Arabidopsis thaliana: one gene and its partner. The protein of the gene in region 2 binds, or shares a complex with, the protein of the main gene of each other region. Each region holds a gene or a part of one and is shown on either strand. Other genes may lie near its edges.

What was found. Proteins that work in one complex are often made in the same cells at the same time.
Region 1: AT4G32915 (region 2) and AT3G25660 share a complex: the UniProt entries of both Arabidopsis thaliana proteins name them as parts of the heterotrimeric GatCAB amidotransferase (AdT) complex.

The regions. Positions count from the first base shown.
Region 1 is NC_003074.8:9,338,833-9,344,081, forward strand, and holds AT3G25660 (Amidase family protein), read right to left. Parts: upstream 3,392-5,249; 5' UTR 3,213-3,391; coding exon 2,685-3,212; intron 2,477-2,684; coding exon 2,165-2,476; intron 2,076-2,164; coding exon 1,896-2,075; intron 1,813-1,895; coding exon 1,718-1,812; intron 1,633-1,717; coding exon 1,557-1,632; intron 1,480-1,556; coding exon 1,402-1,479; intron 1,314-1,401; coding exon 1,170-1,313; intron 1,089-1,169; coding exon 975-1,088; intron 895-974; coding exon 808-894; 3' UTR 510-807; downstream 1-509. UniProt on the Arabidopsis thaliana protein: Allows the formation of correctly charged Gln-tRNA(Gln) through the transamidation of misacylated Glu-tRNA(Gln) in chloroplasts and mitochondria. The reaction takes place in the presence of glutamine and ATP through an activated gamma-phospho-Glu-tRNA(Gln).
Region 2 is NC_003075.7:15,883,895-15,887,588, forward strand, and holds AT4G32915 (glutamyl-tRNA(Gln) amidotransferase subunit C), read left to right. Parts: upstream 1-1,625; 5' UTR 1,626-1,654; coding exon 1,655-1,897; intron 1,898-1,979; coding exon 1,980-2,020; intron 2,021-2,122; coding exon 2,123-2,178; intron 2,179-2,510; coding exon 2,511-2,562; intron 2,563-2,658; coding exon 2,659-2,734; 3' UTR 2,735-2,743; intron 2,744-2,847; 3' UTR 2,848-3,150; downstream 3,151-3,694. Other genes in the region: AT4G32910 (nuclear pore complex Nup85-like protein), read left to right, coding at 32-133, 246-302, 403-549, 655-725, 820-907, 981-1,037, 1,119-1,316. UniProt on the Arabidopsis thaliana protein: Allows the formation of correctly charged Gln-tRNA(Gln) through the transamidation of misacylated Glu-tRNA(Gln) in chloroplasts and mitochondria. The reaction takes place in the presence of glutamine and ATP through an activated gamma-phospho-Glu-tRNA(Gln).

The sequences.
Region 1 (5,249 bases), on a different chromosome or scaffold from region 2:
TTCATAGGTTAATGTGTTTATATATTCATGTGACAACTTTCACGGAGTAGACGTAAATGTCAAACCATGCACACGCATGATCCGTTGGATTTTGATCGTCCACTGGAGACAGATATTCGTCTGGACCACTAGATTTCTGAGATTTTAATATGTTTGCATAATTATAGGTAATAACATATGATTTCTTCAGAATTATTCTAGAAATTTTAAAGTAGTCTATACTTATACTCTAGCACCAGAGTTTCATTTTATAAAATGCCAATAATCTATTTGAAACGTGTAATGCTTTTGACCATTTATTAAGATTTGTGTTGGTACTAGTGGACAAATTTTAAGTTTACTTACTCAAGATTTATAACAAAATATACAAATTTAAATATTGTGTTAATCAATCATGATACAACCATAATTAATAATAATCATGTGCATGAATGCAATGGCAAGGACTTCTTTTCAGTTGATACAATTTTTTAGTTTATTTACTCAAGATTTATAACAAAATATACATATTTAAAAATTGTGTTAATCAATCATGATACTCAACAATAATCAAGTGCATGAATGCAATGGCAAGGGCCAAGGACCAATAAATCAAAAACGAATAAAAGAAAAAAACCATCCCCATTTAGGAGTACCAAATAAGAGCATAGAGACCAAGAAGAAGAAGAAGAAAGAATACGTATGTGGCCCATGGGGTGTATCTACATTTATATTATAAAAGAATTGAAGTACAATTACAATTGATAAATCCGTTGCTTAAACCAAGCATGAAATGTAAACGCAAAAAGAGCCTTGGTGGTTACATGGTTAGGCTACATTGGCTAACAATGGAGGAACAAAGCTCGATCCTTTAAGAGTCTGCTCAAATATGTGACCCACTTTCAGCAATTTCTCCTAAAACCAATCAACAAATCATCATGTGAATCTTAATCTAATCTTTTAGAGTAAGCAAAGAGACAGAGTTTATAACAAACCTCATCAAACGCTGCTCCGATCATTTGAAGACCAACAGGAAGACCCGAGGGACCACCTTCGACTAATCCACAAGGTAATACCATTGCAGGAAGTCCGGCAAGATTCACATTGACCTGCAACAAACCTCATATGATACAAACTATGTTTCGTGTAACAACGATTAAATAGAGAAAGAAACTACGAAAGATTTTTACCGTCATAATGTCTCCAGCATACATTGCCAGTGGATCATCTTTCTTTTCACCAATCTTGTATGCAGCAGATGGAGCTGCCGGAGAAATAAGGATATCGTTCTGTTCTAACGCTGCTTTGAAGTCTTTTCGAATTAGTGTCCTCACCTGTATTAACAACCAAACAAAAAGAGCATACATTTATCTATCAAAACAGGTTCTATTTCTATTGACTGCATTTGAAGATGCGGCTTACCTGTTGAGCTCGCTTGTAGTAAGCATCGTAGTAACCCGCAGAAAGTGCATATGTCCCCATTAAAATTCTCATTTTCACCTTGAAATCAAAATTGTCATTGATTATAATCAAGCATTTGTTGATTAAATCAGATGGAGTAAATTCTGAAATCATACCTCTCCTCCAAATCCTTCTCCACGGGAACATTCATACAGCTTATTGAGTTCTTCAGCCATAACTTGATTACCATATCTTCATTTCCAATACAAGAAACAATATCATTTTCTATATCCATGATGCACTCATATTGTGAGTCAAGTCATAATACCGAGATTACCTGACACCATCATAACGTGATAAATTCGAAGATGACTCCGATGAGGCAATAACGTAGTAAGCTGGTAGTCCAAGAGAGAATGAAGGAAGGGAGACCTGTAAATTTTGGCAACAAATCTCAGAATTTTTACACAAAAACGAAAAAGAAAAACTGAGACAAAGGGAAAAGTGAAAATAACCTCTGTCAATATACAACCCAATGCTTCTAAGTGAGACGCAGCTTCCTGAGTAGCAGATCTCACTCCAGAATCAACACCGTCTTCAAGTGTCTCGCGAATTATACCAACTTTCACTCCATTCAATGGTTTAGACTCAAAATGATCCACAGATAGAAACTGAGACTGGAACTCAGGCACATCCTGAACAAAGAGAAATATGTTTCTGTTTTCAAAGAAAACATCTTTCGTTCATTACAATGCAGGAAACCAACTACAACAAGAGACCTTACTTGTTTGCTACTCGTGGAGTCAAACCTATCATACCCCGAAATAGCATGAAGAAGCATCCCAGCATCAGCAACCGTAGACCCAAAACACCCAATCACATCCAACGAAGACGCATAAGCCATAAGCCCAAACCTAGAAACACGCCCATAAGTCGGCTTAAGACCTACAACACCACAAAACGAAGCTGGCTGTCTCACACTTCCACCAGTATCACTACCAAGTGACACCATACACTGCCTTGCTGCAACAGCTGCTGCTGATCCTCCCGATGAACCTCCCGGTACACGACTCAAATCCCACGGATTCGCAGTTACCTTTAAACCAAAACCAAACCCCAAGATTCAATCCCTATACCATCACAAGCTCCCCAATAAGACCATAAATAAAGGCTCCAACTTTATTAACATTGCTGAATCATTCAATCCTAAACCATCATCACAAGTCTCCCTAACAAAACCATATTCATCTATCTAAACATGCTCCAAATTTATTAACAATCATCACAAGATTCATAAGACAAACCTGAAAAGCAGAAGCTTCAGTGGTACTTCCCATTCCAAACTCATCCATATTAGTCTTACCAACAACAATCCCACCCAACTCTTTAATCTTCTTAACCGCCGTCGCATCGAACGGTGGACGATAATGCTCTAAGATTCTCGAAGCAGCAGTAGAAGGCATACCTTGAGTACATATATTATCCTTAACGCCGATCAAAACTCCGGCGAGAGGACCCAATTCCTCACCTTTAGCGATTCGTTGATCAATCTCTTGAGCATCTTTGAGAACATTCTCCGATACGTGAAGGAAGCATTTGAGCTGAGGTTCAGTGAGACGGATACGAGAAAGGTAAGATTTTGCGATTTCGACAGCTGTGGTTTCGCCGGAGAGGAGTGAACGACGAGTGGTGAGAATTTGAGATTGTGGTGGAGAGATAACGGAAGTGTCGATGGTCTTCGAAGAAGCTGCGGAGACGATGGTTTTAGATATTTGGAACCGGCGTAGAGGGAGGAGTGATAGAGAACGCGGCGGTTGCAATGTCGATAACATTGCTTGAAGTTTCGAATTTGAATCACTGAATCATCAAATTGGGAAGATAGTGAGTTTAAACTGAAATTGGGTAGTAGAGTAATAAGACAAAGAAGGATGAATTCTCCGGTGTAACGCCGGCGAAAATGTTTCGGCGACTGTTCGAGGAAGGAGAGAAATCATCAGGATAAGACTTTTTTCAGTGTTCAAAACATGGAGAGAAGATTTATTAGTGGGCCGAAATTAAATGGGTAATAAAGCCCAATACAATTTTTTCTTATCGTTAAAGCCCAATAAAAGTTAAGGCGGCGATGGTGTAGACTGTAGAACGAGTTATGAATAGTTACGACTTACGATTATCTATTATGTTATATGTATGTTCCCAAAATTGTATTTAACGTAACGATAATTATATATATTTTATGTTAAGCTTAAAACAGTTGACAATGAGAAGGTCTTTAGAAATTAGGTAACATTGGTAAAAATATACATTCAAGTATTTCCGCTGTAAAATCTTTACCATGCTTTTGAGTTTTAATCGAACTAGCCAATCAATGTTATTCGTATGACGTAAAAATTGAAAAATATGACGAACTTATGTCATTGGTTATTTGTGCTTTCCCTTGTTGACATGTATTAGTCATTCATTATACATGTTTTAAGGATATGACACTAAACAAAAGAGCTCGATATAATTTGTAAGTAAATAGAGTAAAGTATTTACTCCATCCAACAAAATCAATCAAATCAAGACGATAAAAGTGTCAAAAACTTGTACGGAAATTAATAATTACATTAACTGTATATAAATTACTTTACGGTAAAAAAGTGAAAAAAGAGCCAGGAAATAAGGACTGCAGGAACATTCAACTCTTGGCCAGAGGGTTGAGTTAATAAATTGTTCAAGAAAACCAAACTCATTACTAACTTTACTATTTAATCCGTACGGCTCATTGAAACTTGCAAGAATCATTTATTAAATATCATCATTGTTTTCAATTCCAAGAACATCTCATTGGATTTAACTGATTAAAAGGAAAATATAAATTTCTTTTTAATTTTGATTCACAAATCACAAGCTTGTGGATAAGATAGTAAGAAAAGATGAAATGGAAAAAAAGATCGTAAGAACGTATTTAACAATGAAAATACTTTATTCTCCATTGAAATTTTTAAGAATGATACGATAGACATAAATTGTAATTTTCAATAATTATATAAATAATCAAAAGTTTGAAAAAATGTTAGAAATATTATGTTATTCCTATTGAAACATAGAGGAAAAAGAGTGTTTTGGGAAATAGACTTTCTCAGTATTTAACTCAACAAGTCCGTAAAATATTACTAATGGGAATAAAAAACTTGTTAAACATAATTCAGACACGAATTCGACATCTTTTTCGTCTAATTCAATATCTAATGTCGCTAAAATCTTTTACATAAAACCAAAACTTGTTGCAGCCGAGTTATAAAACAAGAAAAACAATTATTTTTGCTTTTGTCTTAGTAAATACTGAGAAAAAGTACAGAAGCCGTCACCTATGAACAACTAATAATGACTTGTGGAGTTATGGAGACAGAGCCTATGAAAGCAACAAAAGAAAGAGAGAAAAAAATAGCTATAAATGATCGTAAAAAGCTAACTGCAAACTAAGAAAAAACAAAGTAAATAGTAAAAGAAGATTTTTTCAGTCTATACTAAAAACCCCTAACTGTCTCATCTTTAATTGAACATCAATATCTACTTTTAAAATTCACCAAAAAAAATATTGAAAAAATAAAAGAGTCATTAAATTCTGTATATGAAGTCAGAAAATTCCAGGCAGTACAAGGCTTTGTTTGGTTTGGTTTGTATTGTCTGTTTGAAACCAATGACAGAGCCTGAGACACCAAAGTTAGCTATCTTTGGATATATGCTTAAATGCTTTGCATGTTTATTTAAAGCATTTCACATTTATAGTCAAAACCAAATGTTTGAACCTAAACCTATACTATTGTCTATAGAGTTTAGTTTATACATTATACGATTAAAATGTCAATTTAGGATCGTCAAAACAT
Region 2 (3,694 bases):
AACTCTTCCATATTGTGTTTGAAATTTGCAGATAGCTCCTATTTATCTAGCATCGTGCGAGAAACAGGGATTAGGCTTATTAGAGCTGTTGTTCTACAGGCAGCCTGTTCAAGAGAATCAGATGCTTATTAAGGTTTCATTATTTCAGTTGCATTTGTACATCAATTCTAGTTCTGGTTTGTCGTTTACAATTCTAGGATCTTGTCAGAAGCCTTCACCTGGTACTTATGTTTCTCCTGTTGCAGAGCCTAGAGATTTGCCGTCTCTATGAACTCAGTAATGTCAGTGCTAAACTAATGAAGGTATTGATATATTGAGGCACTATTTTACGCTTGTATTCTCTAATCTCCAAATTGGGCGGAAAAAGGAAAAACAGATTTAATCTGAAGTTATGGTTTTCAGATTTCTGGAGTGCATCATTGGAAACATGGGAGGAAAGGCTCAGGGATTTTCTGGCTCCAGCAAGCTCGGGACGAAAATTGTCTCAGCGTGATTGCTCAACAGCTGTTTGATTCTGTTGGAAAATCATTGTCTGATGAAAGTCTCAAGGTATATATTCTCTAAGACATACTCAAAGCAAATTTCAGTATATAATTTCACTGTGGGTTCTTCTATCTGTGCCCTAGATGACGTTGTTTCATTTCATACATGCAGCAATGGGAAGGCCTAGTCGAGTTGCTGGGTTCGGAATCACAGATCTCTGGTGGTCTCGATTTTCTTCACAAGTAATTTGTCATCTCTTACTCTCTATGAAAATGACTTGTTTTTGTAAAAATCTACCCTACATTATTAATTGATTATTGATGCCATACATTCCAGGTATAGAGATTTCAAGAGATCGCTGAAGGTAGTCCATGATGGAAAAACTATAGATGCAGCTCATGAAGCCGTAGAGAGACTTGTATCGGTGTGTAGTACATCTTTCTTACACATTTTTCTCCACTGAATATTGTGAATTAATGCTATTTGAATTACTGCAGCTAATGAAGAGCCCTTCTACTCCTCAACGCTTCTGGCTTCCTCTTCTGCATGATTCAGTAGATAACCAAATCTTGTTTTCTTTCCTTTTATTTTCCAACTACGAGAATGCACCACTAAAAGAGTATTTGTTTGTGCAGTTGAAGCTGTTGAATTGGCCCGAACGTTCGCTGTTGAATGTAACACAGACCAACCTGATGTTGAACAAATTACAAGAGCTATCAATAGCAAGGTTAAGACCAGGCTTCATAGAATCTGAGTTGTCTGCTCAAGCTGTGGGTTCAGTGAGACTTGCTCTAGCAACAAATCTCGGACGTGCTTTTCTCGAAGAATGTTAGCGCGGGTTGAGGCTAATAAATCCATAGCTCGATATCTATTTGTGTGTATGGGTTTCGTACTACATTTAGTCTGTATTTTTCCATATCAAAATAGACTGATAGCACTCCAGTTTCCATCTTTCACTAGTTTGTAAGCTGATTGCAAAAGTAAAGCAGAAAAGAGAGGTGTTCTGACTGAAAACTGAAAAACAAAATTCGATTATTGTAAGTGGACCGGTTAAAACCGGTTTAGTTAGTCCTTGGAGAAAACGACACAGGCTGTGTCGTTTTAGAAATGTTTGTTATGAAGCTGGTCAATTCTATCTATTCATTCACAGGAGTCGAGAGAGAAATTAGCCATGGCGACCAGAGCTTTGCTCGCCGTTATATATGCGTCTCCGAATCGCTGCTACATCTCTCCGAGCAGGATCAAAATCCAATCTTTAACTTGTTCTTCTTCAAGTCATTATTACCAAAGACAGAGTAGAAAAAACCACAGAATAGCTCGAAGTTACTCGTCTGACTCGGATTCCTCCGTTCTTCAGCCGCCGGATGTGGCCCGTCTTGCTCAGACAGCTCGAATCTCTCTAACTCCGGCGGAGGTACTCGCTTTTTCTCTTTTATCGAATCTACTTTGTCCAGTTGAGTTCCGCTTCTTCGTCCATTGATCCTTTTCTTTTTTAGATAGAGGAATGTGAAACTAAAATTCGTCGAGTCATCGACTGGTAACTAATCTACCTCTTTCTGCACGAAATTGGCTTCCATGTTTATGTCATTGAACCAAAAGAGAAAGAATCAATGTGTTGTTGGATTGCTGAGAAATGCAGGTTTGGGCAGCTTCAACAAGTTGATGTTAACAGTGTGGAGCCAGCTATTAGAGCAGGTTAGAATCATAAACTTTTATCAATTATTACTCAACGTTCTTCTTTTATTTGGTCTACTGTATTTTTGATCTTATAAATTGGTTTCTGAAATCATTGGTAAAACTAGTTTGTAAGTAAGATTTGTTTGTTCTGTTTCAAGTAGAGAGACTCATGTCATGTGATACAGATTGGAGACTGTATAAGTCTTTCTAGTGTCTAGTCTAAGCACATTCTCTGACTAGGCAATATGGTTTTATACTAGTAAGAGGTCTAATTATCAATCTTGATCCGTTTTGGAAATCATGCTTATTTCAATATCTTGATGCCTTTATAAATCTCAAAAAACTTGTAGAAATGGATGGTGGAAATTTGCGAGAGGATGCTCCAGAAACATTTGACAACAGGTTTGATCTTTACACAATTTTCTTCATCTGCAATGATACCGGCTTTAAGATGAAAGCCATCTATTAAACTTAAGAGTTTTGATATTCCTCTAACAGGGACAGTATAAGAGCTTCCATTCCAAGCTTTGAGGACGCATATCTAAAAGTCCCTAAAATACTAAACAAAGAGTGACTTTTTCAGGTACTCTTCTTATCCATAGATGAGCAATCATAGTTTCCTGATTATGATCTAAGACCTGCCCATTGATTTTTTTTTTTTTGGGTGTATGTGTCTTTCATGTGCAGCTTCTTGGAATTGTTTGGCTGAAGAGATTCATTCTCAGATCCGGTTCTTGTTCCAGCATCTCTATGTTTTCTAAAATTGGTTAGCAGAAAACAAAATTGCCTCAAAATTGTTAAGTCTCACGTAGGCTATTATTCTACAACATTTTGTTCACAACTCACCACAACCTTGTGTGCATATGAAACTAAACTCAAACCAATTTTGAATAGTGTCTGTGATGGGCCGTTTTGATCCCAGCCTATTTTGAATCCTTTGCGTTTTTTTAAGCTCGATCCGTTATGAACTCGGACTGACCTATTGCTCTACACCATTCAAATTCATATCATTAGTAATTCCAAATGTCTTTCTTTTGTATTATGTTGCCCCCCGAATAGTTTTTTAAGTATTTGTTGAACACCGAACCAATAAGATTGAATTATAAATGGGCCCTAAGCCCAAAGTCCAAGCACACTTAAAAGTCAGCGAAACGCAGATAGTAATTAATTCCAGATCTGTGAAAAATATTACCACTGGCAATGAGAGCGCGTGCTAATAACTCGCTAAATTTATTTCAATTTCCGTGGTCTATATAGTCAGCCAAATCATCTAATTTTCCAAATATGCAAAAAATCAGCGCGTGAGGAGAATTTCACTGTTACAAACAGTTTGCGTCTTTTCTCTATTACCCCATTGTTTCAATTTTTGTTTTTTCTTTCACAAAATTAAAGTAATGCCAGAGTGATACTACGGGAAATTGCAGCATTTTCTGAGTTTCCTAACTGATCAAAAAAAAAAAAAAAAAAACTTACATTTGAGAGAGAAGAAGAGAAAGCTTGTAGAAATGGAAGGCCTTATTTGAGAAAGAAGTGA